Linked DNA regions of Canis lupus familiaris. The protein of the gene in region 3 purifies or fractionates together with the protein of the main gene of each other region. This does not show direct contact. Links are inferred from orthologs where the notes say so. Each region holds a gene or a part of one and is shown on either strand. Other genes may lie near its edges.

Evidence for each region.
Region 1: the proteins of MED1 (region 3) and POLR2J purify together in Homo sapiens (affinity purification with mass spectrometry; 3 studies listed by BioGRID and IntAct, with this or other methods). This does not show direct contact. The link is inferred for Canis lupus familiaris from reciprocal best matches to the Homo sapiens genes MED1 and POLR2J.
Region 2: the proteins of MED1 (region 3) and CDK19 purify together in Homo sapiens (affinity purification with mass spectrometry; 7 studies listed by BioGRID and IntAct, counting the BioPlex papers as one, with this or other methods). This does not show direct contact. The link is inferred for Canis lupus familiaris from reciprocal best matches to the Homo sapiens genes MED1 and CDK19.
Region 4: the proteins of MED1 (region 3) and CDK8 purify together in Homo sapiens (affinity purification with mass spectrometry; 14 studies listed by BioGRID and IntAct, counting the BioPlex papers as one, with this or other methods). This does not show direct contact. The link is inferred for Canis lupus familiaris from reciprocal best matches to the Homo sapiens genes MED1 and CDK8.

What each region holds. Positions count from the first base shown.
Region 1 is NC_049227.1:7,621,699-7,625,699, reverse strand, and holds the start of POLR2J (DNA-directed RNA polymerase II subunit RPB11-a), read right to left. Parts: upstream 2,814-4,001; 5' UTR 2,709-2,813; coding exon 2,656-2,708; intron 1,615-2,655; coding exon 1,525-1,614; intron 311-1,524; coding exon 136-310; intron 1-135. UniProt on the Homo sapiens protein: Core component of RNA polymerase II (Pol II), a DNA-dependent RNA polymerase which synthesizes mRNA precursors and many functional non-coding RNAs using the four ribonucleoside triphosphates as substrates.
Region 2 is NC_049233.1:67,588,342-67,591,908, reverse strand, and holds part of CDK19 (cyclin-dependent kinase 19), read left to right. Parts: intron 1-191; coding exon 192-264; intron 265-506; exon of another isoform or gene 507-664; coding exon 665-762; exon of another isoform or gene 763-819; intron 820-1,221; exon of another isoform or gene 1,222-1,730; coding exon 1,731-1,809; exon of another isoform or gene 1,810-2,397; intron 2,398-2,490; coding exon 2,491-2,757; intron 2,758-3,567.
Region 3 is NC_049230.1:22,961,965-22,965,531, forward strand, and holds part of MED1 (mediator of RNA polymerase II transcription subunit 1), read left to right. Parts: intron 1-231; coding exon 232-327; intron 328-441; coding exon 442-547; intron 548-3,416; coding exon 3,417-3,567. UniProt on the Homo sapiens protein: Component of the Mediator complex, a coactivator involved in the regulated transcription of nearly all RNA polymerase II-dependent genes.
Region 4 is NC_049246.1:13,124,129-13,127,324, forward strand, and holds part of CDK8 (cyclin-dependent kinase 8), read right to left. Parts: intron 2,341-3,196; coding exon 2,243-2,340; intron 1,543-2,242; coding exon 1,464-1,542; intron 1,344-1,463; coding exon 1,185-1,343; intron 1-1,184.

The DNA.
Region 1 (4,001 bases), on a different chromosome or scaffold from region 3:
ACTGCTGCTCAGTCACCACGTGCCCCCACCCCACAATAAATCCGGAAACTACCCAGGGGTTGTCGGTGTGGGCATCAGAACAGCTCTGGCCATACTGGCTAGCATGCAAACACCCCTCGCCGCCCGGCTCCTCACCCGGAATCGCTCTTCCAGCAGGGACAGCTCGCTGATGAGGTCTGTGATGGCGTTGGTGAAGGCCTCCTGGGGGCTGTAGTCTGGTGTGGTCTGCACTCGAATGATGATCTTGTGCTCCAGGGGGTGGGGGACTTTGTAGCCAGCAAACAGCACCTGGGGGTCCTTCAGCAGCTGTCTGAGATCAGGAAATGGGCAGTGTGACATGGGGGCTGGGCCTAGCACCTGGGACCACCAGGCCTCTAACCAAGGAGCCTTCCCACTGGCTTGAGGCCTAGAAGCGAGGGGGGTGGGGCAGGGAGGAGATGGCTGACTCCAGCTGCTTTCCTGCTCTTGATTTCCCAAAGATATCTCCAAGTAAAACATCTGGAACATCTGCCTCATGAGGACACCTCCCTCCTCCCCCCACCCCTACATCCATGAGGATCCAGGACCCCAGCTGGTAAAGAGGATTTCCAGCAAACTTCCCTCAGGGGAAGTCGGGGGCCTGCAACAGCACCAAAGAGCCCTCCCCAGGCAGCCAGTGCTCAGTAACCAGAACACAATGTGCTGGTTCTGGCCCAGTAAGAGCGTCTGGCACAGCAGGAAAGGCTCAGGCTCTGAGTGCTTAGTGAAACGGAAGCCCTTTGGTCAACGCTGCTGCCCACACACCTGGGACCCGTTGTGCCTGGCTGTGAGGTGAAGTGTGCATGCCATGCTCTGCCCTGGGCCCGCGGGGGATTCTCTGGAGCAGCTCAGTCAGCAGCAGGCACCAAGAGGGAAGGCTCTTGCACAGGTGGGGACATGCCTCCCAGAGTAGGGGAGCAGAAGGGCCTGGGAGCAGCACCGGCATGGCTCAGGGTGGGGCCAGCCAGACTGGAGAGAGCCAGCCCCACCTCCTACTTTCAGCCCAGAGGTGAGGTGGGCTCCTGCCCAGTGGTCTCAAACACATGACCCTCGGAAAGACCTAGATTCACCCATGGTGCTTTTCTGACAAAAGCCCTTGAGCCCAAACAGCAACCACATCACTGACCACTTACCTGGCCAGGACCTCGCTAATGTACTTACACACCTGCTAACCAACATGAGCATCGGATAATCACAGAGCCTCTCCCCCACCTTCTCCCCTCATTCTAATAAGTTCCAATCTCTGGCAAGTCGGCCTAGGTTTCTCTGGCTTTGCCACACGTTCACTTCCTTTCATCGGATAAATGAACCAGTACAGAAATACAGCTGTGGGAACAGATCCAGGGCAGCAGCATTTTGGGGAAAACGTACTGAAACGTGTGAATTGCCAGAACAAGCACCCAGACCTTCCGGCAGCTCAGAGAGACTTCGGGAAATCTGGGACGTGTGCTTTGCCTCAAAGAGCCCCATTAAACGTTGCCTGAGAGCCTCTGACTCGGAACTTACGATTTGATGATGTTTCCTAGTGTGTGGTCTTCTTTGTTGATGGTAAACAAACAGGCATTGGGTACCTTGGTGTCCTTGTTAATGGTAATCCTAGGAAGAGGTGGTAGCAACAGATGGGAAACGGGGCTCTCCTCCTCCCCCCAGGATAAATCCTGCCCTTTAACTCAGGCTTAAGCCCCACTTCCACCTCGAAGCCTTCCTCCATCTCTTCATCCATAAAGACCTCTGACTCAGAGCAGCAGAGTGGCTATGCCCCGATTCTGCGGGACCCTCACCTACTCTGGATTGCTCCTTGGCACCAGTGACATCTTAGGGTGGATCATTCTTTCCCGCAGGGGGTGGTCTTGTACATTGCAGGATATGAGCAGTATCCCTGGTCTCTATTCACTAGCTGCCAGCAGCAGCCCCTATGTGACGAAAGTGTCTGCAGACGTTGCCAAAAGTCCCCTGGGGAGCAAAATAGCCCCTAGTTGCCAACCACTGCTCCCAAGGGAGACGAAGTGGCTGGCAAGGGCTAGACATAGAGCCCCGCACACCAGGCTGTTAAGAGAAGGAAAAGCCGACGTTTAAGACAGTCTTTTGTGTGCTGAGCCTTGGCCTAAGCACTTCCCGTAAATCATCTCAAGCTCCCCTTTGAGAAAATCCTGTGATTTAACAGAGCAAGAAGCCCATTTTCCAGATGAGGAAAGCAGGCCTCAGGCAGGCTAAGCCACCTGCCCAAAGACACGGAGACGTTAAGTGGGGGAGCCAGGAGCCAAGCCCAGGCTGAGAGACAGCAAGACTACACCGCCTGCACCCCGCGGGCAAGAAGCCGCTGGAGGTTCTCCGGAGGCCAGCGAAGGCGGGACGAGAGCCTGAGAGCCGGACCCCGCTGCAGCCGCAGGAGGCGGCGGCCAGGCACGCGAGCGAGGGGGCTGCCGGATCCCGGGGGGAAGCACTCTGGCGCCACGCACACCGCCACTCCCCGAGGGCCGGGGCAGCTCCTTGGCTCTCTGAGCTTCAGTTTCCGCATCTGCGGAAGGGGGTCGGTCGCCACCGCCCGGCAGGGCTGGCTCGAATCTGGCGGACACAGAGGCTTCCGTCTCCCGCTACTGGACGGACCCCAGGCTCGCCCCCGCCAGCTCCACTTACTTCTTTTCGCCCTCGAAGAGCAAGAACGACTCAAAGGCGGGAGGGGCGTTCATCCTAGCGCCGCACTCGCAGCCGAAGCCGCAGGGCCGCCCCCGACGCCTGCAGGACCCTCTACGACGCCACCTCTTCCGGGTTAGCGGCTGCTTCCGGGTTACGGCCCCCGTGGGGAGGCCGGCCGCTCGCCCCCTGGAGGCCCGGGGGATGTAGCGCAGGCGAGAGGAGCCCGGGAGGACCGAGGCGCTGGTGGCTCTGCGCATGCGTGAGGCGTTGGCGGGGGCGTTGGCGGCCCCGGGGGCCGCCCCCCCCCTCAAGATCCTTCTTTGCAAATGCGCTTGGAGGGCCCAGCGCGAGGCCCTCGAGTGGAGAATGGAGCCAGGGCGCAGTGCGGGCCGGCAGGAGGCGTCAGGTCCTAGGACCAGAAGGCCGCCGGCCGCGACCCCCACCTTCCCCCGCGTGGTCGCCCCTTTGCGGAGCGGGCTTGGGGCCGATGAGCTGCTTGCCAGGCAGACGGCCCGGCGGCGGAGGCGGTTGGCGGCCGAGAGGAGTGCGTTGGCACTGCTGGTTGCTATTTTGCCGACCGCAGTTGTGTGGACGGACCCCACCTGCGCTGTTTGAGGCAAGGAGCTGGGTCTCCCGTCGGCTCCAGTAGCCGCAGCATCTGAGGAGCCGCCGGGGACCTGCCCGGGAAACCAGGAGCCTCCATTTCCTGGGAAGGGCTATTCCTTGCTTAAGCTTGGGCCCTGGGGTGAGGAGGTGCCATTGGCCAGAGGCCCACACCAGCCTGGACTCCACGGGGGGGGCTTTAACTGGTGAGGAACAGAAGGCATGAGGGGATGATGCACAGGGGCGTAGCCGCGACCCTTCTGGGCCATCCGGGCAAAGCTAGGATGCCACTTGGCTGGCTGGGGGTGGAGAGAAGGGGTATAGTTTTTACCCCAAAGGGGCCTCACTCCCGCCTGACAGAACCTAGAGGTGTGGGGGTACATGAGCCGTGGGGACAGTGCCAGGCCCTGCTTCACTGTCACCCCTACAGGCTGCAGCAGCCACCCCATCCAGGACCCTCCTGGAAGAGAGGGTGGGCGGTGACACCACTGGGGGGCTATGTATGCAGTTCAAACCCAGGCTTCTACCTGTGGCAGCCCCATAAGTAGTGCACACTACTTTCCCCTTCACTCTCATTAGGGTGCAGTGGACCCTGGGCTCTGTACTTCCGGACCACAAGGTCCTGGAAACCCACCGAGATTCAAAAAGCATGAGGATTTGTGTGAGGTCCTAAGGAAGGAGCCAGAGAACAGGGTGTTGGTGATGGCGGAGGGGGGGTGCAGGCTCAGCCACCTGGGGGCAGG
Region 2 (3,567 bases), on a different chromosome or scaffold from region 3:
TGTGTTCTTTTATTAGAAAAAACAATGGCCTAAACATGTACCTTATGGGAAAACCAATCTGGGAGCTTTCCATTAAAAAATACAAACTGTGTAAACTGTACTTAAGTAAATGAACATTTTTTGAAAAAATGAAGCGAAGCAAAACAAAACGTGAGTGTTCCCAGTGATGTGTGATTGTCATGTCCTTGCAGGTACGCCAACAGTAGCCTCATAAAGTACATGGAGAAACACAAGGTCAAGCCTGACAGCAAAGTGTTCCTCCTGGTAGGTGCTTCTCTTCCAGATGAAAGTTGGGTCTGTAGCACAGGCCCACCCCATCCCATTCAACATGGAATTGTACCAGCTATTCCTTCCCTTTAGAAAGAAAAGAAATTGTTGGGGGCTGATGCAAAATTAAATACTTTTCTTTTAAGATGTCACCCTTGATTTCTAGACTTAATTTTTTCCAAAGATTTATCAGCAGGAAAAAAAAAATTATATTCTCAAAGGGCCTTCATGCTAATGATTTCTGCCAATTTCACATAAATGATTGTGGTGTCCTAATAGCACGGTGAGCTCTGCAAAATGGCATCTGATATTAATCCTGCTAGACCTTAATACAAAAGTCAAAACATTGATAAGCAGTCTTTTCCATGTGCTATCAATTTCTTATGTGTTACTCTAGCTTCAGAAACTCCTTACTATGGATCCAACCAAAAGAATTACCTCGGAGCAGGCTTTGCAGGATCCCTATTTTCAGGAGGACCCCTTGCCAACATTAGAGTACGTATTGTACGTGTTCTGTGTTCTTTGCTCCAGGTCGGGGGTGTCGGATGGTGGCTGCAAGTAAGAGAAGCCCTTGTTACTGCAGTATTACAAGTTCTCCATTAATACTACCTCGGAGAAAAAGTACTCAAGAGAAAGGGCCCGTATTCTGAAACAGGCAAAGCCATAGAGAGGTGTGAATGGAAACAAGTATTTTAGAAAGGACCATTATTCAGGGTTACAGAAAAAAACTGAAGCTGAGAACAGGTGGGACTTTGAGAGGTCGGTCAGCCAGATAAGTTTAAGCCAAACCAGTAGGGAACTAAGAATTTAAAAGTCTGTGTGTCCACTCTACTACCAAAACCCCTGTGTTTCCCCCTCCTTGTTACACCCACGTGCTTGTGTTTATTAGAGATGCAACTTTTCTTGGGCGGGCGGGGGCGGGGGGGAGTATTTTCATTGTTGAGGCAATTACAAATTCAATTTTGTTTTGTGTGCTAATAAATTTTCTGTGGAGAAACTTCCCCATCATATATGTCAACTAGCTAACAGCAGTTAAGATTTGTTACTGAAGATGGTAATTATTATAAAACTTAGACAATTTTTTTTTCCAGAGAGAGAAGGAGGTGGGGGTGAAGGGCAGAGGGAGAGAGAGAATCTCAAGCAGGCTCTGCACACGTGTGCCCAGCGCGGGTCAGAGCCTGACTCGGTGCTCGATCTAACAGCCCTGAGATCCTGACCTGAGCCGAAATCAAGAGTCAGACACTTAACTAACTAAGCCACCCAGGCACCCCACAAATTCTTTTCTTATTTGCTTGAATTCAGTTGTCTTGGGAGGCATCCCGCAAATATTAGCTAGAGCTGAAGAGTGGGACATAGCTTAAGAAAAAAAGTGGAATTTTAAGCTAACAAGGTCAATGATACTGTAGATTTTAGGTCGTGATGTATATTCTTTTTTTTTTTTTTTTTTTTAAATGATGTTGTAGTGTGTTTGCTGGCTGCCAGATTCCATACCCCAAACGAGAATTCCTTAATGAAGATGAACCTGAAGAGAAAGGTGACAAGGTATAAAGCTACACGGTACACATCACTTCCAGAGAATAAGGGAGGCAAAAAGAGAATTTAAGGAACTATAATTGAATGATTACTACGTATTTAACTGCCTTTAATTATGTATTTACATGATTGCAGATGTACTTTGCAAACTTGAAATCTAGTAAGTTTACAGATAAATGATTTCTAGCCTGTTTCATTCCCTGGTTCTTAATTGTTGGGTTTCATTTGTTCAGTGTCACTTTATGCAGGCTGCTTTCAAAGCATCTTATTCTTTGCTGGTAACTGGGTATATCAGGCCCTCCCCATATCCCTCTACTTTTCCAAACTCCTGATGGAGAAGACCATCACAGCTGGTTTCCTGAGAGCAGAATAGCTTCCTGGGTGCTGCATGCCCTCTGGCCGGATGTCTGGGACTGATGTGGAGGATGAGTGTGCAATCTAGATGAACTTCGGAGAATGAATCGTGTTCAGGACTCAGTACTCTGACCTTAGGGGATGCGCAGCATCCGGCTGGAGTCACTTTGGCATCCCCACCCCAGAGGGGCTCTCCAGCTTGGTCCTTGGGCAGCCCAGTGTGCCTACTAAGGAATCAGTGTCCTGTTAAAAAAAGAGAAAAGGATAAAGGAAAGCAAGCACCGCCCTGTTCATTTAGTTCCATACCAAGTTTGCCTTTCTTCCTTTTCTTGCAAGAACCAGCAGCAGCAGCAGAACCAGCATCAGCAGCCCCCAGCGCCCCCCCAGCAGACGGCAGCCCCCCCGCAGGCGCCGGCACCACAGCAGAACAGCACCCAGACCAACGGGACCGCGGGCGGGGCTGGCGCAGGGGCCGGGGCTGCAGGTGGCGGCCTGCAGCACAGCCAGGACTCGGGCCTCGGGCAGGTGCCCCCCAGCAAGAAGCCCCGCCTGGGGCCCTCGGGTGCCAACTCCGGCGGGCCCGTCATGCCGTCAGATTATCAGGTACCCCCTCAGATTCTGTTCTGGTCAAGGGTTTTTTATGAAATGGAACATCGATTTTTAAAAAAAATTTATTTAAAGAGAGAGCATGAGCAAGAACACAGCAGGGGGAGGGGCAGAGGGAGAAGCAGACCCTGGGCTGAATGGGGAGACTGAGCCGGGAGCCCCAGGTGGGGCTGGATCCCCAGCACCCCAGGGTCACGACTTGAGCCAAAGGCAAGCCGCTCAAGCATTTGAGCCTCCCAGACAACCCAGAAGTCAATTTGATCCTAGAGCTTTTTAGACTCAAGTGATACTGAACTCTAAAGTTTGACTGTACAAATGGTACAATCCTGTTTCTAGGGCATGACATGAAAATGAAGATTTGGGTCATATTTCCTTGTAATTGTGAAACATTTTGTTCCTTGGCTTGTTTTTCCTGACTTCCAGAGGAGGGAAAGTGAGGTGGGCATCTCCCTGCTCAAAGGAAATTTCTCATATTAGCCTTTGAAAGAGAGAGGAGTGGCAGCTTATTTTGCCCAAAATAAGATTGAGAAAGATTTGCTGTCCCTGAGAGGAAATAATCAGTAAGTAGCCATTGTAAACATAGAAAGGGATTAAGATTGAGATGTTGCAGAAATCACTGTTCAATCTCACTAGAAGTATTTTTGAGACTAGAAAATACTTTTTATTAATAAGATTAAAAAAAATAACAACACCCTACAGTTGTGTGGTATCTGCCTAAATGTAGTGTCTCTCTCCATGGGATGGGGGCCCCCAAGTGTGGGACGAGGATGGGTGGAAGCCAGTGGCAGCTGGTGGTCCAGGCCATGA
Region 3 (3,567 bases):
TGGAAGTTTAGTTACTTATTTGTTTGGAATATTTATAACAAGCTGACATATTTTTTGGAATCGGATTCATTCTATCACCTGTGAATGATATAGTAGTTTTGCATGTAAAAAATGTATAGGATTTAGTTTCTAAGGAGACTGAAAATGATGTTCTGTATACTTAGGGATTATTATTTATTAGGATTTAGTCTTATATTTGATTATTTTATGATCTTTTTCTTTGCCTTTTAGATTCTCCTGGGCTCCTCCAATTTGAAGTGTGTCCTCTCTCAGAGTCCCGTTTTAGCGTATCTTTTCAGCACCCTGTGAATGACTCCCTGGTGTGTGGTGAGTTTTGAGGGGGCTAGCTCTTTTCTTAGGGCAGTAGTTTGGGCTCTTTATCTTCTTTTTGGAAAGTCAGAAGCTGAATTTCTCTCAACTCCTATATGTTTTGTCTTTCAGTGGTAATGGATGTGCAGGACTCAACACATGTGAGCTGTAAACTGTACAAGGGGCTGTCAGATGCACTCATCTGCACAGATGACTTCATTGCCAAAGTTGTTCAAAGGTAGCACTGGCTCTTTTCCATCAGACTCCCATTTAGAGGGGTATAAGAAACACTGTTTTCAGTATTAAAGTGAATGGAAATTTAGGAGGGAAGCATTTATTTATTTTTTATTTTTTTAAAGATTTTATTTATTTATTCATAGACACAGAGAGAGAGGCAGAGACATAGGCAGAGGGAGAAGCAGGCTTCACGCTGGGAACCTGATGTGGGACTCGATCCCGGGTCTCCAGGATCACACCCCAGGCTGCAGGTGGCGCCAAACCGCTGCGCCACTGGGGCTGCCCAGGAGGGAAGCATGTAGTCACTGTTTTGAATTCACCTTTCTCTGCTTTGGGATTCAAAAGCAATGTGAGCTTTAGTTTTTTATTTTTTTTAAGGTTTTTATTTATTTATTAATGAGAGACAGAGGCAGAGACACAGGCGGAGGGAGAAGCAGGCTCCATGCAGGGAGCCTGTTGTGGGACTCGATCCTGGGTCTCTAGGATCAGGCTCTGGGCTGAAAGCGGCGCTAAACCACTGAGCCACCTGGCCTGCCCCAAGCTTTAGTTTTTTAAATACCATCATGGGAGTAATAGGAAGTAAGGTAGAGTAACTTTAGGTTGGTATAGGATTCTTTTAGGAAGGAAATACCTGAAATAAGATGTAGATTTTTTTTTTTAAGATTTTATTTATTTATTTGAGATAGAGAGTGAGATAGACAGGCAGAAAGAGAAGGAGCCAGGGGGACAGCCAGAAGGAGGGGGGAGAAGCAGACTACCCGCTGAGCAGGGAGCCTGACATGGGTATTGATCCCGGGAGTCTGGGATCATGACCTGAGCTAAAGACTGATGTTTAGCCAACTGAGCCCCTAGATTTTTTTTTTACTTATCTACTGCATCACTTTTTAACATATGTAATATATCAAATGGTGGCATGTAGGAAGATACTTTAAGCTAGTCAGCTTCCCAGAAACATTAATATGTAATTTTGAGATTTTTCTAGAGCTGATGCTTGTGGCCTGTTTTGTAAATAAATTTTATTGGAACACAGCTATGTTTGTTCATTTATATGTTGTCTCTTTTTTTTTTTTTTTTTTAAGATTTATTTTTTAGAGAGAATTTGAGGGGTGGGTGGGGGTTAGAAGGAGAGAGAATCCTAAGCAGACTCTACTGAGTGGGAAGTCTGATGTGGGGTTTGATCTCAGTACACTGAGATCATGACCTGAGGTAAAATCAAGAATTGGGACACTTAACCGACTGAGCCACTCAGGCACCCCTATATATTGTCTGTGGTGCCTTTCGAGCTAAGATGGCAGAATAGTTGGACAAAAACCATGTGATCTTCAAAATCCTAAAATACTACTATTTTGGTCTCTTTAAGAAAAGTTGCTAAAATGTTCTAGAGCAAAGTGTTTTCGAAAATACTTTTTTTTTTTTAATTTATTTATGATAGTCATACAGAGAGAGAGGGAGAGAGAGGCAGAGACATAGGCAGAGGGAGAAGCAGGCTCCATGCACCGGGAGCCTGACGTGGGATTCGATCCCGGGTCTCCAGGATCGCACCCTGGGCCAAAGGCAGGCGCCAAACCGCTGCGCCACCCAGGGATCCCGAAAATACGTTTTTAAACTTATCTATAAGATAAAAAGTGCTTTGCTTTAAAATAATAAAGATTGTAGGGGATTCTTGGGTGGCTCAGTGGTTTAGCGCTTGCCTTTGGCCCAGGTGTGATCCTGGAGTCCCGGGATCGAGTTCTGCGTCGGGCTCCTGGCATGGAGCCTGCTTCTCCCTCTTCCTGTGTCTCTGCCTCTCTCTCTATATATATATCATATGTAAATAAGTAAATAAATCATTTAAAAAAATAATAAAGATTTTAGAGCAATAATAGCATCTTTCACAATATAGCTTTGGGATGCTTTAAGCCATTAAGGTTTATTTTTGTTTTATTTTATTTTATTTTATTTTATTTTATTTTATTTTATTTTATTTTATTTTATTTTATTTTATTTTATTTTATTTTATGATTTATTTTTTAAAGAGTTTATTTATTCATGAGACACACAGAAAGAGAGGCAGAGACACAGACAGAGGAGATGCAGGCTCCATGCAGGGAGCCCAATGTGGGACTCGATCCCGGGACTCCAGGATCATGCCCTGGGCCAAAGGCAGGCGCTAAACCGCTGAGCCACCCAGGTGTCCCACCATTAAGGTTTAGTTTTTTTTTATTATTATTATTATTTTTTGCCATTAAGGTTTAGAACTTGATGTTTCAAGAGCTTTTTCTAGTGTTTCATTAATTAAGGTAAATATTATATCCCATTAATCACATGTGAAGTCCTAAAAGGAGGGCTTTTTTTTAAAGATTTTATTTATTTGAGAGAGTGACAGAGCAAGCATGAACAAGGTGGTGGGGGATGGGCAGAGGGAGAGGGAGAAGCAGACTCCCCTTTGAGCAGGGAGCTGATGTGGGGCTCGATCCCAGGACCCTGGGATCATGACCTGCGCTGAAGGCAGATGCTTAACCACCTGAGCTACCCAGGCGCCCCAGGAGGGCATTTTCTTACTGAGTTCATTATTACCAGTTTTCTTTTGGTTTAGTATGACATGTAATTTGGACTTTGTGGTTGGTTTGTTTTGGGTAGTGCTTTAAAAGAGGTTAAGATTGCCTACTGGTACAGATTCCTTTTAGAATGAATTTGCCCAATGCTCCAGCATTTTATAGAACTATTTCTGTCTTACCGGTTACTTGCCTTACCTGAAAATTCCTTACTGTAAACCTCTGAGTACATATCTGAATTTCAGGCAAAATTAAAGCCTGTTTTCCCAAATAAAAATTGTTTTCTTTCAGCAGCTAATACATTGCTGATTTTGTTTTTTCTATCTTATCTTACAGATGTATGTCCATCCCTGTGACGATGAGGGCTATTCGGAGGAAAGCTGAAACCATTCAGGCCGACACCCCAGCACTGTCCCTCATTGCAGAGACAGTTGAAGACATGGTGAAAAAGAACCTGCCCCCGGCTAGCAGCCCAGGGTATGGCATG
Region 4 (3,196 bases), on a different chromosome or scaffold from region 3:
TTTTCCAAGTTGTCTTTCTGCAAAGAAACTGACAATACCACTTGATGGGATCCACAGGCAGGCAACAGAGCAGTCTTGGTTGTCAGATCTTAGACTGTATCCTGGGTCTACCCCCAGCTCAACAGGTAAATATGTGAAAGTTCTTCTCTGAGCATCTCTGATATGACAATAACCCTTACTCACAGAGTTCCCATAATGATCAAAGGAAATAATGTAAGTTTCATGCTTAGTAAAAAAGCTGGCATAGTAAACACCCAACAAACTCTTATTATTAGTTATCACCAGCACCACCACCACCACTTAGTAAATGCTTACTGCATACTATGAACACTACTAATAATTTTGATGATAATGATAATAAAAATGATAAAAAGTGGTAACATCTGTTAAGCACTATGGCATGCTAGCCACTGTGCCTTAGCGTACGTCCTCTCATTTAATCCTTGCTACCACCTCACACTTGCCATCATCACTTCTACAAATGAGAAAACTGAGAACATCTGAATTACTTTACTCAAGGTTACCCAAAGTCAGTGGCTAGGCTGGGATCTGAAAGTCTGTGTTTTTTTTTAAAGATGCTATTCATTTACTTGAGAGAGAGCAAGCAAGAGAGAACATGAGCAGAGGGGAGAGGGAGAGGGAGAAGCAGGATCCTTGTTGAGCACAGAACCTGATACGGGCTCAATCCCAGGACCCTGGAATCATGACCTGAGCCAAAGGCAGAAGCTTAACAGACCAAGCCACCCAGATGCCCCTGAAAGCCTTAGATGTAGCTTTCTTAATCATTCTTAATCATTCTTGATATACCTGTTGTTTCAAAACAATGCACAATACTGATTGAGCTCCTACTATAAGTCAGGTGCTAGGACTTATCATGTCTATTCCTATAACAACTACAAGCAAGGCTTGGCTAGTCTCATTTTACAGGTGAAAAGGCCAGGAAATTTTATTTGTCCAAGGTCACACAGTTCATAAATGGCATAATTTATAAGTCTGATCATTCCAGGTCTGTTTAGTTCAAAAGTCGGCCCCCTGTCCGGTACCACAGTCAGTACTCTGCTGTGCCAATAACAACTCACATCACTATATTTTCCCCGGGGACATGAAGGTCAGCATTTTCTTAGGTCACAAACCCATCTACAAATACTGATATGGCCAGTCAATACACAATGAACTGGAAATACCTGATAGTCTGAGGTCATGATGAGTCCACCTGAGGTAGTGGTAGGAGGAACAACTCTCACTTTTTTCAATGGGGGTCCCTGTGTATGACTGCTGTCTTGATTCCCTGGGTGACCGGTTCCATTAGTATGGTTATTGCCCTGCTGCTGCTGCTGGTTCTTCTCAATTGGTTAAACAGAAAAATAAAGTTCAACTCAGAAGGAGAACCAAATACAAACAAGAAAATGTTACACGGTAGATGGAATAAAACAAGCAGCAGCCAAATGTACTTTAATACTTACTTTGTCTCCTTTGTCATCGGGTTCTTCTTCTGTTAAAAATTCTCGTTTTGGGTAAGGGATTTGACAACCGGCAAAAACGCTGCTCACAACAAAAAAAGAAAATTTCTAGTATGCTAATCAGTATCTCAGATGCTTCATTTTAATCTTTTAAGATGGACTTTGTGTCCTTATTTGTAAAATAAGCACCCTTCATGCAACTGTGCCAAAATGAATCTTTTCTTCTAACTAGGGACATTGTAGCAGACCATGGGAAGGATTTTCATTGTGTGAAAATAATCAATAATCATCGAATATGACTCAACTTTCTTTTATCCCAGACTCACTCTTTTATTGTTACAATCCAAATATAGATTCCAGTGGAAATGTCACTATTTGAACACAATTTTTTTTTTTACTCTCCCTTCTACACATAAGAGATGACATGGGGAACACAAATTTATTTGGGAATGGGATTTTGTAATTAAAACACAAAACTGTAACTGTAAGCAGTGGGCCATCTCAGTGAGTCTGAGTGAGCTACAGCATGCATAATTAACCTGTCACTGAATAATTGGGGCACGGCTGAAAATAAAGCTGGTAATGTTTCATAAAGTAAGACATGAACAGGAATGCCTTTTCACTGTAAAAGCCCTAAATGACACCTCAGTCATCAGAGCTCATGTCACTGGGATTTCCCTAGGTCCCCATGTAATGCGAGTGGCAACTTGGAGTTGACAACTCAAACAAGCCCACTCCAGAAAATTCTATCATGCTGGTGAGTTAATAAACTGATCACTTACTCTGATGTAGGAAGTGGATCTTCTAAGAAATAGGGATCCTGCATAGCCTGTTCTGAGGTAATTCGCTTTATTGGGTCCATAGTAAGTAACTTCTGAAGCTGAAATCATAAATCATAAAAACATTGTGTTATTTCTTATAGTTATATCCTTGGCCATATGTGGGATGTACATGTTTTTTGATGAAACACTACAATTTGAGCGGTATTTATTCCCCCAAATTAACAAGAGAAAAACTGGATTATTACATTTAACATAGTAATTCACATTTAGTAATTCTAATAATCATGATCTTACTTGGTTCTAAGAAGTAAACAAAACCTTTACCTTATTCTAAACCAATGATCTACATTATGCAAATTGTTTTGTCCAATTTAGAACAAGACTAAACTCTTATATTTTCTATTCTTTTTCTATAAAGGGAAAAAAACTATTATAACACAAATAATAGAGTAGTCACATGTGACTATTTAGATTTAAAACCAAATTAAACTTAAAAAAATCAATTTCTCAATCATATCAGGTACATTTCTAGAGCTCAAGAGCCACATGTGGCTAGGAGTTATCCTATTGCACAGCACAGATCATCAGAGAAAGCTCTCCTGGCCAGTGTTATCCCTGTCTAAATAAATATGGTGCTTGATACAGAACTTGTGAAGTACAGAGGGGTTATGAATGGAGACTTGAAGACCTTTATTATCTGAGTGACTTTGGACAAGTTGCTTAATCTCTTTGCAACCTCATTTGTCAAATGGAGATTAAAAATAGTGCCAGCTACCATAGGTTTGTTTTCAGAATTAAATGAGTTAATATATGGAAAGCAATTCTAAAGGTACCTGACACAAAGAAAGCACTATGTATTATTATTATTTTGCTACCTATAAAAATGTCACACTAATGTGAAAATTCAGTATTTTTTTGGTTAAAACAGTTTATTTAAGACTTTATGAACAAAAA